Neurospora crassa OR74A: one gene and its partners. The protein of the gene in region 2 interacts with the protein of the main gene of each other region in a pairwise test. Links are inferred from orthologs where the notes say so. Each region holds a gene or a part of one and is shown on either strand. Other genes may lie near its edges.

What was found.
Region 1: the proteins of NCU03944 (region 2) and NCU01587 interact in a two-hybrid assay, tested with the Saccharomyces cerevisiae proteins (2 studies listed by BioGRID). The link is inferred for Neurospora crassa OR74A from reciprocal best matches to the Saccharomyces cerevisiae genes AIP1 and COF1.
Region 3: the proteins of NCU03944 (region 2) and act interact in binary tests that used the Saccharomyces cerevisiae proteins (3 or more experiments, as listed by UniProt). The link is inferred for Neurospora crassa OR74A from reciprocal best matches to the Saccharomyces cerevisiae genes AIP1 and ACT1.

What each region holds. Positions count from the first base shown.
Region 1 is NC_026502.1:3,015,081-3,020,089, reverse strand, and holds NCU01587 (cofilin, variant), read right to left. Parts: upstream 3,361-5,009; 5' UTR 3,130-3,360; exon of another isoform or gene 2,901-3,129; 5' UTR 2,779-2,900; coding exon 2,776-2,778; intron 2,681-2,775; coding exon 2,670-2,680; intron 2,316-2,669; coding exon 2,129-2,315; intron 1,740-2,128; coding exon 1,617-1,739; intron 1,520-1,616; coding exon 1,379-1,519; 3' UTR 1,088-1,378; downstream 1-1,087. Other genes in the region: NCU01585 (hypothetical protein), read left to right, coding at 1-268. UniProt on the Saccharomyces cerevisiae protein: Controls reversibly actin polymerization and depolymerization in a pH-sensitive manner. It has the ability to bind G- and F-actin in a 1:1 ratio of cofilin to actin. Binding to F-actin is regulated by tropomyosin.
Region 2 is NC_026506.1:2,197,429-2,202,729, forward strand, and holds NCU03944 (WD repeat containing protein 2), read right to left. Parts: upstream 3,200-5,301; 5' UTR 3,014-3,199; coding exon 2,909-3,013; intron 2,826-2,908; coding exon 1,074-2,825; 3' UTR 757-1,073; downstream 1-756.
Region 3 is NC_026505.1:5,085,295-5,089,569, reverse strand, and holds act (actin, variant), read right to left. Parts: upstream 2,801-4,275; 5' UTR 2,465-2,800; coding exon 2,458-2,464; intron 2,318-2,457; coding exon 2,287-2,317; intron 2,141-2,286; coding exon 2,085-2,140; intron 1,967-2,084; coding exon 1,936-1,966; intron 1,858-1,935; coding exon 1,086-1,857; intron 1,022-1,085; coding exon 791-1,021; 3' UTR 790-790; exon of another isoform or gene 721-789; 3' UTR 323-720; downstream 1-322. Other genes in the region: NCU04174 (hypothetical protein), read left to right, coding at 1-48. UniProt on the Saccharomyces cerevisiae protein: Actins are highly conserved proteins that are involved in various types of cell motility and are ubiquitously expressed in all eukaryotic cells.

The DNA of each region.
Region 1 (5,009 bases), on a different chromosome or scaffold from region 2:
GGAGGCTAGGTTGGCTGCGACTGCGAATACAACAAAGCCCGAAGTGTCGGAGTCGCCCGAGGTGGAGATGAAGGATGTTACACAGGAAAGTGGAAGTACAGAGGCAGCGGCAGCAGGACCAGTAGCGCAAGGACTCAGTGGTCCGGCGGTGCTGGAGACGGAAGAGTTCTGGGAGGATCTGAAGGGGTATTTGCAGCAACGGATAAGGGACGAGAAGACGGCGGAGGAGGTGGTCGGTAGGTTTAGGGGGGCTTGGAGTGGGAAGTAAGTAGTAGTTGTAGTAGTAGATCCTTTGGGTTGGTTACAGTCAGTCTGCCACGGCATCAGTATTAATAAGTTCGAGGGAGAAGAGACGTGAAATGACGAGAAGCCGTGGATAATTCAAGAGGAGTGATGAATGGCTCGAAGGATGTCCTAGGAGTGCTGGTGAGGTAGGACGCTGTAAAGTGAATTGTTGAATTGCTGTCGAGGATTGGTTAGGATTACTAGCAAATAATTACTCTTTTACCGACACTGATGAAAGGAGTGTTTTGAAGGGCCGTGAAGTGATGAAGGAGAGGTGGTCAAGATGTGAGTGGAAATTGAAGTGATAATTGTGATAACATGATGAAGTGGGTAATGAGTGAGGTGACTAATCCGATGTTCAAGCAATAAGGCTATCCACTGTAACTGAAGAGAGCTAAAGTTTCTTACAAGAGCCAACCGATGTGCGCTCCTGGGGCATGAACAGCTACAAAGTACATCTTCTACTTTGCAAACATTGGTGGTTATGGCGATGTAGTGGACACATATATGGGTATGTACAGATCAACATGTTGACGAGGTCTCACCCTGTCTTCAGATCTGCTAAGCATACATAGTAGATCGATCGGTCTATCCGCGATAGAATATACGGGGAGGAACACGTTTTTCACTCTGACGTGGGCGGGCTCTCCTAAGGTGCAACAACACAAACGAAGAATGCTGTCGACAATGTTGCAGAGCTAGACCGGGAACCGTAAGTTGGGTATCCCTTTTCTCATGCATAGACTTTACCTTGATAGCGTACCTGACATCGACATTGAAAAATGAACTCCTCGCAAGTGTAAACAGAATAGAATATCTGAAATTTCCAAACCAAAGCGGATAGTAATATGAAAAATTGAGTTGAGTAAGTGGAGGAGAGGTGGTGGTAGTCTGGATGTGGTAAATGGTATTTGGCAAGTACAAAATAAGTAGCGTGTGGTTTATATTGTCATTACAACAACGCCGACAGCGACAGCAACATAAGGGACACCATCTTTCGACTATGTTCGCAACGCGCAACAACATCAACAACAACAACTCATCTCTCTTCTCTTCTCTTCTCTCTCTGTTCTTAATACGATTATGGAGAAATCTATGCGGCAGTACCCTTGCTCACGGTCTTGATAATCTGTTCGTACTCGATGTCGTCCTGCTCGTTGGCCTGGAGCTCGACAGCGATACCGCTGAGAGAGCGCTTGAGGGCCTCCTTGGAAGAGGCGTAGACCATCTTGGACTGTTTTATTTTGGGGAGAGTCAGTTAGTTCGACTTGTTCGCTTCGGGATATATATATTTGAAAAAGAGTCGGGAGCAAACAAAAAAGGGAACGCACCTTGATGCCAGCATCATCGGGGGACCAGGCGATAAAGGTCACCTTGTTGCGGGAACCCTCGCCAGACGCAAGCTTGTACTCGAAATCGTAGACGGCATATCGGGGACCCTTGCTGATGGCGCCCTGTAACGGTTGTGATTCATTAGCGATCGGCGCTCTCCCGAAGATAATCATGTTCCTCCGTTCGATCAAGTCCACAGAACATGCCACGACAGGGGGTTGACATGTCTTGGCAGTCCCCTGTGTCTAACCGCCTTTTTGTGAAAGAACCCCTCAATTCCAAGACCCCTCCTCCCGTCCTCCCCCCCTTTTTTCCCCTTCCAGGTAGGAGAATAAACAAGACAAGTATTCGCCCGCAATAGAAAGGGACTATAAGAGTGAGGATGGGCGGGGAGGAGGTGATGGTGATATCGGGGGTCCGTAAAGTTCTCTTTCGCATTCTGGGCTGGATTGGGCTGGGAGTTGGTTGCGACACTGGCAGCAACCAGTCTCTAGGGAAAGAAAGGACCTACAGAAGCGCTCTTAGTCTGGGCGTTGACGAGCTTCTCGCGGAACTCGTCGTAGTTCTCGGTGGCGCCCTCGCTGGTGCTCTCAATGACAATCTCCTTGAAGTCGTCCGAAAGCTTGTAGATGATGTACCTGAGCTGACGGGACATCAGCTTGTCGAAAGCCCTCCGGCACTCGGGGTCGACCTGAACTCTGTAGAGTGACGCAAGCAGAGTACGTTAGCTATTCTGAGTTCTTCCATGTATTGCGTGTTGTCGATGCTGTTGTTGTTGCTGTCTTTTGCGGGTCCCGCTCCCCATGTCCCAGCGCGCTAGCTACCGGCCGCCAGATGCTACTCTGTCGCTGCTGCGTGATATAGGATGGAGGGATCTCGAGATAATGGGCTGGTTGCATCGCGGCTACGGACGGGCAACGGGCGGGCAAGGCGGCGATAGGGTAGCGTCAAGTTATTGCGGTTCCTGAATCCATCGGTGAGGATGATCCAGGGGCAGGCAAGCAAAATGGCGGGGAGGGGGGTAAGATGTAGCAAGTTCATGGAGGACTAACCCAGATTGAGACTGCGACAAGGCAAAGGAGTCAGCGACATGTTTCACAAGCAAGGTGCGGGGGGCGGCGCGCGTTAGGAAAGGGGGGGCAGGAGAGAATGATTTACCATGATGTCAAGTTGTGATGTGGTGGTTTTGTGAAAGTGTTCTTGTCAAAAAGTCGACGACGATGGGTGAACCGATCGCGAGAATGGGGGGGGCGAGCGTTATATGTGGAGAGGGGAGCCGAAAGCTGGATGGCGCGGGAAGGTTGTCAGTCAGTCGGGTCGGGTCAGCACAACAGGGACGGACAGTAGAAAAGGCAGTCGGGGGGCGGAGCGAGGCGAGGGGTAGCAACATGGAAATGGAACTCGAACTGGAAAAGGCGGCGGCAAGGGGACTGGAACTGTAAACTGGAGCACACGGCGGCAAGGCTACAACTCGGTCAAGCTAAAACCTCGCTGGCGAATATACGTACGTACAATTAGGTAGAAAGAGTGCTATGATGGGATGGTTCCGTTGTATGTAAAAGGTAGAGAGCCGGGAGTTGTCAACACGAGGAAGCAAGGACGGGGACGGGGGACGGAGACCGGGAAGAGAGCTCTTGGGAAGAGACCTGAACTTGAAGGTTGGGAGCCTGACGCGAAAGGAGCGAGGGGTTCCATTCCCGGGCACCGTCAGCCAGCACTCGGCCAGGCAGAGAGAGGCCAGGGCGCCGACGGATGCCACCATTCGTTGACCACACAACCACCTCTATTCTAAGCACCGGCCACTGGGCAGTGGATGGGCACCTCACTGCCAATCTGACCCTCTAATCTGCTCCAACACAACACCACAGCTCCAACATCAGCCCCAGTCCCCCCCTTCGCAAAGCAGGGCAGCTGCTGGCCAGTGAACAGCATTGTGGACTCCTCCGTCCCGTCCGTCACTTTGGGTGTGGGCTCCCAACAGGCGGACGGAGAGGGACGGTGCAGAGTGGATCCCGCTCGACGTCGATACCAGTGGTACGTACCCTCAAAGTGAACGACGCCGGCGTGATACCTAGTAGTGTAGTTCCAATGCCTGCTTACCTACCATCCATAGAGAGTGAAAGGGAGGGCTGCCATTGTGCGTTCATCAGCCATATAGTAAACTTGGCTCTTCTGTCACAGCGAGGTGATTTGCGTCTTTCACGAGCCCGCAAAAGCTGTGATGAACTGATGATACCGAACAGAGCAGGGGTTGGCCGGCGTGAACGACGAACAACACGGGAAGCTCTCGATGAGATTACGTTTCACCACCAGGGAAATGAGTACGTCGTCTTTTATGTACACTGGCTCTCGACAGTCACCTCCCTCAACGCGCGTTTATCATTCTCGGTAATCGAAAGGATTTGTAGCCGCCAGGCAACAGTGGGCAGTTACCTGTTGGATCTCGAAATTACAGAAGTGAAAACGGTAGAGGTAATGAAACTGGATGGAGGCTGGATGGAGGCTGGATGAAGAGGTTGAGGTGGATGTCGATGAAGGGGGGAGGGGCCACCGCCTGGAAGGAATCCTTATGAGATGGTGGGGTTGCTTGTTGTTCCGTCGACAGTCAGCTCCGTCGTCAACAGCCTAACTGCCCTGAAGCTGAGTGCTGTCTCCATGTCGACGGGAGTTCGTTGTCGTCTGCGAAACGAAAGCAGACGGTTGGCCATGTGGCTTGCACACCGAGTTGACAGCTCTGAGCCTCTGCAGCGACGGGGAGACTGCCACCTGGTAAAAGAGTCCCACTACACTTAAAACATGTTTACTTGGCGCCGTTTCAGTGTTGCACCATGCAATTTCTGTTCCACATTACCTTGAATTCGTCAACCTCTGTCAACCGGGCACCACCAAACAAATGATTGGCCCAAGCTCCCATCACATCGACGTTCATCCAATTCACAAATGCGTTTCCAAGTTCTGACAACCAACCCATCTTGATATCTCACAGCCACCATGGCAACGCAAGCTTCTCACGGACTTTTAGGCTTCAATATCAGCAAATGTCCGCATGCCAGACAATTGAGTATCAAAAGATATGCCTTCCTAGTAATACATCAGCTTCGCTGAACACTATCAACAGCTGCCTAAAGGTGAATGCGTAATATTCCAAGAAATGGTACGCACCTCCAAAACTATGGTTGCACAGCTTTCGGATTATTCAAGGAGACATCAGTAGCAGTATTGTACAGTTTCATTCATTCTCATGATTTGCTCTACTCTAACCCTCCTCTGTGGTCCGTAGATTATAGTACAAGGAGCATCATCATCATCCAAACAATGCCCGCCGGAATATGCTAGTAAGAACACACGAAGAGAAAAGGTAGAGAGGAGAGAAAGTTACATGACACACATTT
Region 2 (5,301 bases):
TCGACACTGCAGTGCAGTATTGTGCAAAAAGCTGAGATACCATGTAGGTATACGTGGGCGAATATCTAATTGCACGTTAAGAGCAAAGAAAATACCCCTTTGTTCGAGATTCAGAAGCAGACAGTTCCAAATTTTCATCAATCCGGTGTCGCAGAGAACGGCAACAATCGAGGCTCATCCACCAACTGTCAGTCTTCTAGCACTAGAGAATTCGCAGTCAACTGACGTTGATAGTTCCGTCCCCGGCCGTTTCAACTACCTATTCTAAACTGCCTGGTTGCACATCGATTTTACGTTTTGCCAAAAATCTGCCTGCTGAATGACAACCTGCAGCAAATGCACGTACAGTTCTCTGAAGCCCTGAACCCTTGATCGAATTATCGGTACGGCACAATCTCTACTTTGGCGTGCGCAAAGCAGATTATTTGAAGATATGACGAGACGTCTGAGTTTGCCATTGCATCTCCACCTCGATGCGCTCTGTCACTTCAAGGACAGTATCTTCATTTTCGAAGGGATGGAATGTCCCTCGGCCATCCGCATACTTGTTTCTCACCAAGATATATCCAGAACACAAGTTGATCGAAAAAAAAAAAAAAAGAAGAAGAAAATATTAATAAATAAAAAATAAGAAAAGAAAAAGAGGACATACAACACCTGGGATTCGCTGGTCGTCACCGACCCAGCTACTAGTCAGGCGATTGGTAGTTTATCTACGGGAGAGCGGACGGGATCCCGAGTTTTTTACCATCTATGGTCGTATGTGATGATACTGCTTTGGAGTGGGCATTATGAAGCACAAAGAAAACACTATTAGTAGAGAGTTTTGAGTTTGAAATCGTTCGCCATCCACGGAGACCCCTATCCACGAGAGGTTATCATCATACGAATAGCTACAGCCATGCCATGTAAGCACATATCTCTAATTTCATTGCCATTAAACTTGCTCGCCTGCTCAAATCCATCAGTCATAACCAAGGCAGTCCTTTATGTCAAAGGGTCAAGCATAGTTTGGTTGCCTTGACAATCCCCTCCATATCTCGTCGGTCAGTCCCCATACCTGCGCCAGCGCCTCATGGCAACCCCGAAACCTTCCAGACCTTAACCGCCCCATCCACACCCGTGCTAACCACTGTACCTTCCTCCATCCACGCCACCCCGTTCACGCCGTCCTTGTGCGCGTTTGGCGCGCTCGTCCTGCTCCCTGGCTTCGCCAAGCTCCAAACACAAACATTCGTGTCTAGGCCGCCGCTGACGGCGTGCGTGCCGGCCTCGTTCCACGCGATGCTTAGCACGCGCGCCGTGTGGGCCGACCACCGGTCGGTTTCCACTTCCCACGAGCCAGAGCCGCTGGTGCGGTAAACGACGATCTTGCCCGTCGAGTTGCCGGCCGCCAGGAACTTGCCGTCGCGAGAGAATGACAGGGTGGAGATTTGGGCGGAGGAGTTGGTAAGAACGGCGACGGGCTGGGAGGAGAGAGTGCCGTCAGAGCTGGAGAGTGAGTGGATGCGGACTGTGTTGCCGTCGCCGCCTACGGCAATCACAGAGCCGTCCGTGGGGGAGGCGGCGATGGCAGTGGAGGTGAAGGTGGTCGGGAGCTCGGAGATGAAGTCGGGGCCCTGGTAGACTTGGATGCCGGTGTGGGCGGCCACGACGACGAACTTGCCGTCGCTGGTGGTGGCGATGCCCTTGGGCTGGGCGGAAAGCTTGGTGGATAAGCCGGTGAAGGTGTTGGCAGACACGTCGACGGAGCGCAGAGTGTCGTCCCAGCCGACGCTGTAGACGGTGCCGCCTGAGGGGGAGAGGGCGAACTGGGTCACTTGGTTGGAGTGCGACTGGCCGTCGACAACGGTTCCCGTGCCCGCCGCGAGGTCCCAGCTCAGGACGCGGCCCTCAAAGCTACCCGTCAGAAGAGCCTGACCGTCGGGGCTGGCGCCAAGGGCGGTGATGTTCTTATTGTGGCCTTGAACAACGCGGATCGGTTTGGGATTGCCCGGAACCAGGTAGCTGAGGTCCCCATTGAGATTGAGGCTGATAATCAGCCCGTCGGTACGGCCATGCGGCCAGACTACGCCAACTTGCTGGTCCGGGATGCTGACGCTGCCCTCAGGCCCGAATCGCCAGGTTTCGGTGTTCTTGCCCGACTCGGCATCCCATACGCGAACAGTTTGGTCGGCGCTGGAGGTGACGAAATGCTTCGAGTCGGAAGCCCAGCTGATGCCATAGATACCGCCCGTGTGGACACCCTCGCCGATCGTCTTGGTTGGTGCGCCCGTCTTTCCATCGTACAGCTGGATCTTCCTGTCGGCACCGACCGTGACCAATGTTGCACCGTCTGGGCTGAATGCCGTGCCGGTAACGAATCCCTTGTGCTCCGACGCCTTATCGGCGAACTTGAAGGGTGCGCCGTGGAGGAAACACATGGACCCATCGTCCGACACCGTAGCTGCACGCAATGGCCGCTGCTGCCTTATGCTGACGGCATTGACAACCTTGCTGTGGCCCGTGACCTCACCAACACTGTTGCCGCTGTCAGCGGTGAAAGCATGGCCAAATCGCTCGCGGCCATCACCAACGGCAATCACACGCTGCGAGTCGCCGTCCCAGGCAATATCGTTAATGCGGCCGGAAATGATAGAGTATTCGCCCTTGGTGTTCTCAGCACCGACAGCGTCCCAGACGCGCACCTTGCCCGAGACATCACCAGAAGCAACCCAGAAGCCTGATGGCGAGAAGCGGGCAACGGTGGTAGTGGTTGTATGGCCAGTATACTGGAGGGACTTGGATGGCTCGTCGATGGTGCGAACGAAGATGGATTTGCCGGACTGCGGGGTTTCAAGGATGTGTCTTGGTAAGCTCGAATGTACTTTGGCTGGCGATGGTATTGCTGGCGGTGAAGAAGACTTACAGCGTAGACTATGCGCTCGCCCTTGGGATCGCAAGAGAGCTGGGTGGCCTGACCGCGGGTCGTGGCGGGCGCAGCGGCCAAGATCTTGTCGATTTCGATGGGCATATCGTTCTCCTTGACTCTTTTGTCTGTTGCTTCGTAGATAGCTTGGGGACGCGAGAGTAAGTGATCGGCGAGTTGGCGTTTGTTTATTATACACAGTAGGGGGCTAAGGTATCAACCCAGCTGGGGGGAGCTCGTAACAAGGGGGAGCTGTTCCAAGGTGTCAGATCGGTGTCAGCTAGATGGAGCCCATTGGAGCCTGGACGATGATGCAGTGGGACGCGCGGCGGAGAACCTACCTACAGAGGTACATGGACAGTGGGGTTGGCGTTGCGGGGTAGCGTTGCCGCCAAAGCAGCAGTACACTGCAGCGAGCAAGCAGGAACAGAATGGACAGTCGGGTGCCTGGCGTCGGGTTCCCGTCGGTCTGAATAGATCATGTCTCTGGCTGGAGGATGACGACTAGAATCATACTCAGTCCCATCCTTATACATATTGTTCAGATATAATCATTAGCTGACAAAACACATTGTTTTGTACGCCATGTCCGTGTAGTCACTTTACATACCTGCTTTAAAGTGCGGGCTCGATCTTGGCTTCGCCAAATAAGGTTGTATTGCGCCAAGGCTAACACCCACGAGTAGAAAAAAGGGGTGTTTGTTGACAAGCGTCGCTATAGAAACACACTTTCTTCCAACAGTTGTCTACATACTTTAAAAGACCACGGGTTTTTCCGGTGTCTCGACAGCTCATAGCATCGTCTCGTCAAGTGACTCTCCTGAATAATGACGTTCCTTACCATCGACCAGAGTTTGGGTCACCTTAAGATCTGAATACTTGCAGTTTCATATCATAGACGCTGGATGGGTTCGCTAGGTAATGACTCGATGGCCTGAAGATGGCATCTTCCCACAGGACAACGATGGAAAAGATCTACGTAGTATACTAACATCTAGACAGGAGGGAAAAAAGCAAAAAGAGAATGAGATGTTGACATTGCCAGATTCAGTTTGCTATAAAGAAAATCCAAATCCCACGGCAAAGAAGACCAGGACTAACTACTCTTCATGCTTTGCTGGATGGCCCTGGCAGCAATTGCAAAATGTTCAAAAAAAGATGGTTGTGACTCGGATACCGGGAGTCGAACCCGGGGCTGTTGAGAGAGCAGTCACTCCTAAGTAGTGAGAGTCAACGATGTTACCGCTACACCATACCCGATTTGGAATGGTTTCCGATTTTTATCGATGACCTCACAAGATTGACACACTATATAGGCCAGACTGCTGGCTCCAACGTCTATCATGTTCAAGCAACACTCCTTTTTGTCTTGGAAAACCATACACCCTGGCGCATGGGGTCAGAAGGTAGCTCAAGCCCTGGCAAGTATGGACCACCGTCAACGTTGAGACTCGCACACCGTTAGTGATTTAGTCCTGCCCGGCATCTTCACGACATGAAATACCACTCTCGAGGGGCCGGAAGTCACGTTGAAGGAGACGCTCGGTTAAAACTATTTCCAGTAGGATCTCAAGGTGGATTGTTTACGATTCAGAATCTCTTTACCTTACGAATCGCAGAACTCCATGATTCCGGAGAAGGTGTTGCGTAAGGGTATGGAAACTACAGTAAGCCATCGTCTTTCCAGATATGTGGTCAAGTTGCTTTGGCGACAGCTATCAGCCTTCCGGTGCGCAGGCATGCAAAGGGACCGAACATCTGATTTTCATTGAAAAAGAACCGCCATTCAACGGGGAACAGAAGAGCTTGATCCAGCATGTCAATCTGCCGGAGGAGAAGTTTGGAAGAAGAGGATAAGGGACAAAAAGCTCAACCGCCCAAGTCAAAGTCCGAACTGACCAGCTGCCGGCTTTGAGAATTGTACCACCAGCACCGCGCACCGGGCACTGGTTTTCTAGCCCATCGACGGCTTGACCACGGAGAGAACCTGCTTAAACCCTCTGAATCCCAATTGTATGTACCCCGAGGGGGATTCGAATTGACTGGTCATATTTGCCAGCCGCACCAGCTCCAGTTAACCCCGTTGAGTCTTAGGATATGTTCGCTCTATATCTAAGATAGCGCCGGCCATCTTGCCAGAGGCGTTCCGAAGTTGAAGATGTTCTGGTACTGAATGGCTGGAGATAGGCAACGTGAAGACAATGCCTGCCCTAACTGGTATCGCGGTTTCTGCTGCGCTCGCTGTTACAACGAGACGCACCCACTTGGGAGTAGGGACAGTAAGCTATGTTGACCCCATCAATATGCGAGTAATAGGAGAAGAGTATTCGGTCAACCCTCCCGCGCCTGATGATGTCCTCGCCCGAGGCATATTCTGACGCTGGCTTCGACAA
Region 3 (4,275 bases), on a different chromosome or scaffold from region 2:
AAGGCTGAGAAGCGCGGAGGAAACAATGCGGATGGCGGTAGACACTAGACAGTAAGAATACCTACCCATTGTGTCAGCGAAAAGCCATCTGTGGTTTCTGCCACTGGTTTGCAATCCTGGCCATGTTTGATCATAAGGAAACGGCTGCTTGTTACTCGGTTCCTGAAGCGGTGAGGATCGCTTAGTTGGATTCGGTAGGTATGGCCGCCTCCCCTTCAAGTCAATAAGACATTACGGTGGATCCGATACCTTGACGGCTAGCAATTCCCCTTTTCTCCTTGGCTTGCACGTATCTCACGACCAACGAAAGGGCAGCTGAAGGTGCTCAGAAATACAGAACGCTGTTTGAATTTTGATGATCTCTTCATCCACGATAACCTCGAATTTCCCAGTGGTGACTAAATCTTGCTGCTAAAAGTGTAGTAAATAGAGAAAGGGTGTTGGCAAGATCAAGAAGCCCGCATACTTGACCGCGCCTATCCCACGCATTCGCAGCCGTCGCCGCCCACCCAGAAAACAGAAAAAAAAGGCCATTATTTATGTCTTCTAGTAGAGAAAAGAGACGCCAGCCCCCTTCTGACCACGCTCGCTACTTTTTGTATAAGAGAGACCTGTGCAGAATACACGCGCAATGCAGACATGCTACTTGACGCAGATAGGGGTGTTATGTCCCCAGTTGGCGCTGGCTCGTGACAGTCGTGGATTTGTCCATTTATTGAACTACATACATGGTGTAAGCCGACGACGCTCCGCTTCCAACTGCAACAACCACCTCTCAAGGGCACCCACTTTAGAAGCACTTGCGGTGCACGATCGAGGGACCGCTCTCGTCGTACTCCTGCTTGGAGATCCACATCTGCTGGAAGGTCGAGAGCGAGGCGAGAATGGAACCACCGATCCAGACGGAGTACTTGCGCTCGGGAGGAGCAATGATCTTGACCTTCATGGAAGAAGGAGCAAGAGCAGTGATCTCCTTCTGCATACGGTCGGAGAGACCAGGGTACATGGTGGTACCACCAGACTAGTGACGATTCTGTTAGCGGACCTAGCCTATACTGCCATCTCCACAGCGAACGGGGACTTACCATGACAATGTTGCCATAGAGATCCTTCCTGACGTCGACATCGCACTTCATGATGGAGTTGAAAGTGGTGACGTGGATGCCGCCAGATTCGAGACCAAGGACGGAAGGCTGGAAGAGAGCCTCAGGGGCACGGAAACGCTCGTTGCCGATGGTGATGACCTGACCGTCGGGAAGCTCGTAGGACTTCTCGAGAGAAGAGCTCTGGGCAGCGGTCTGAATCTCCTGCTCGAAGTCGAGAGCGACGTAGCAGAGCTTCTCCTTGATGTCACGAACGATTTCGCGCTCGGCGGTGGTGGAGAAGGTGTAACCACGCTCAGCGAGAATCTTCATGAGGTAGTCGGTAAGATCACGGCCAGCCATGTCAACACGGGCAATGGCGTGGGGAAGGGCGAAACCCTCGTAGATGGGGACGACGTGAGTGACACCGTCACCGGAGTCGAGGACGATACCGGTGGTACGACCGGAGGCGTAGAGAGAAAGGACGGCCTGGATGGAGACGTAGAAGGCGGGGGCGTTGAAAGTCTCGAAAACGATCTGTGTCATCTTCTCACGGTTGGACTTGGGGTTGATGGGAGCCTCGGTAAGAAGGACGGGGTGCTCCTCGGGGGCGACACGGAGCTCGTTGTAGAAGGTGTGATGCCAAATCTTCTCCATGTCGTCCCAGTTGGTAACGACACCGTGCTCGATGGGGTACCTGAGAGTAAGGATACCACGCTTGGACTGAGCCTCATCACCGACATACGAGTCCTTCTGGCCCATACCGATCATGATACTGGCATGTTGTCAGTTTTTTCTGAAAGTCTTGGAGTGTTGCGCGCACGGGACGCGGGGGGGAAAGTGGCATGCATACCCATGATGACGGGGACGACCGACGATGGAAGCTATCGCGACATGTTAGCATGGCTGGGACGTTGGGTCTTGGCGGGGAGGCAAGTAGCTCTGCTGACACGTTGCCCGTCTCAAGCAAGAGCACCTCGCGGGAATAGTGGGAACACTTACGGAAAACAGCTCTGGGGGCGTCATCACCGGCGAAACCGGCCTTGCACATACCCGAACTGGGCGGTTGTTAGCTACTGTCCATCGTCATTGTTCACCATGTAGAACGGGCTATGGGGGGGCCGCGAGGCGTCGATTGCGGGAGGAATATGACGCTTCTCCTAGGAGTCGGTGAGGCGCAGGCGAAAAGGAGGGGAAAGCTTACCCATTGTCGATGACGAGGGCGGCAACTTCTTCTGTTGGCGGGAACGCATGAATCAGCTTGTGCCCATGATAACCAGTAGAGGGAGATGGCGATGGTAGAAGTCCGATCCGCCGGCGACCAGCTCGCCAGCGCGGGCAGACTGGGCAGGAATGTGGACATGTTGTTACGTACCCTCCATTGTGATAGATTAGGTGGTGACGAAAAGTGTCGGATTAAGCAAAAGGTACAGAAGAAGAGTTATTAAATACGCTCGACGATTCCCGGATCGATGGAGCGATGATGCTTTGGCTGAGAGAGGTGTTGCCGAAGGACGTAGAGACGTTGTTTGGGCAAAAATTTGGATGTTGTTCGGTAGGCGGAAGAGTTGGAAAAGGGGAGGTGAATTTAAGGTCAGCTTTGGGAGTACGAGGCGGCGGGTGGATTGAGGGGGGTAAAGGTAGGGGAGGTAAGGGGATGGGATTGCTGTGGTGCCAGGTGCGAGGGAACGGATGGCGGACTGGGGGGGGGAGGGGAGGGGACGGTTGATTCCATTGGGGACGGGACTGGGCCGGGACTGTCTGCACTGGGCATTGCTGGCTGCTAGGTCCAGTTGGTTGGACTGGGCCTGGTCACCTCACGGCGTGGTTGTGGGACTTGGCGGCGGAGGAGGAGGAGGAGGAGGAAGGAAAGGCGGGCAAGGACGACACCGATGTCACTGAGTGGTACTGACAGTGAGTGCCCGGCCGACTTCCAGGTCCCAACAAGCATTCATTTCATCCTCGCCGGGCTGCTGCGCTGCCTGCACTCCATGTTGCCCGGTTCACGACGGGATGGATCACCACAGTAGACTACAAGTACAAACCTAGAGGTAACTGCGCTGCCTTCTTCCCAGGCCGTCCCCTCTCCCTCGCTGTTCGCTTTCCACACCCCTACTCTAAATCATCAAATCACTGGCCGCACCGCCCCCTTGCCCTCTGGCATCTTCGTGGACAAGTTGTCAAGTCGCAGTATCATGCCTGATTCGAGGTGGCTCAAGGTGGATTCCTGAGTGGCCTGCGATCCGTCTGGAAAGTGGGTAGGAGACACCGCCTAATTTTGGGAGGGCAAAGGGGATCTTCCTGCCGCCAACACACTTTGGGAGGCTTCCGCACCTCGGAGGCGACGTCTAGGTTGACATCAATGCCCGTCTGGCAACTGGCAGCCCGTTCAAGATCCCCTTTGATTTCAGTCTACCTAACTACATTGGATACCTACACGACCTGACTTGTATACTATGTAAAAGGATATCATATCGCAGCACGGCCGGGGTCGTCACCGCTGCGTGCCGTTCGACGGGTGCAGCTAGACAGACGGTTCAGTTGTACGTAGCGTAGGTAGTACCTAGTGAGCACGGTGGGAGCGTGGTGCGTGGCTGGGTCCGCCCCCGACGTTGTGTCAGCGTTCAGTCTTCTTCAACCTAATGTCCCTCCCCTGCGTCGTTGCCGTCGTACCTGGTCGCTGTCCCTTGTCGTACCCCGTTCATTACTTGTTTATTACTCCTCCTGGAGAACCGCGATTGCAATTCCAGAAGATCCAATGTCTTCTTTACCGTCTCTTCTGTTGGAGCCTGGCTGATCACGATCTCTTGGAGCTTGTCCGGATCGCAATTCCCATGGCCCCGGGGCCCGAGTGTCTTGAAGGCTCCATGGCCGCCCCGGTCCGGGATCCGACGGAGATAGATATGTAGCCTACGGTATGCACCACTTGGGTCCATACGGTACGGGGACCTCCAGCAGCGGTGTCATTTCCAAGGAAACGCCATCTCATTGGGGATGAGAACGAGGTATTGCCACAGTCCAACACCACCACCACAACCACCACCACCCACTTATTGGCGTCTGCTTCATCCCACCATCCACACAACCTTCACAGCCTGGAATTGGATTTTTTTGTGTTTCGCTGCTCACGTTGGACCAAGTTTGTAGCTGACGTATGCCCCATTAGGTATCCGGGAACTCTGCATTCCAAACA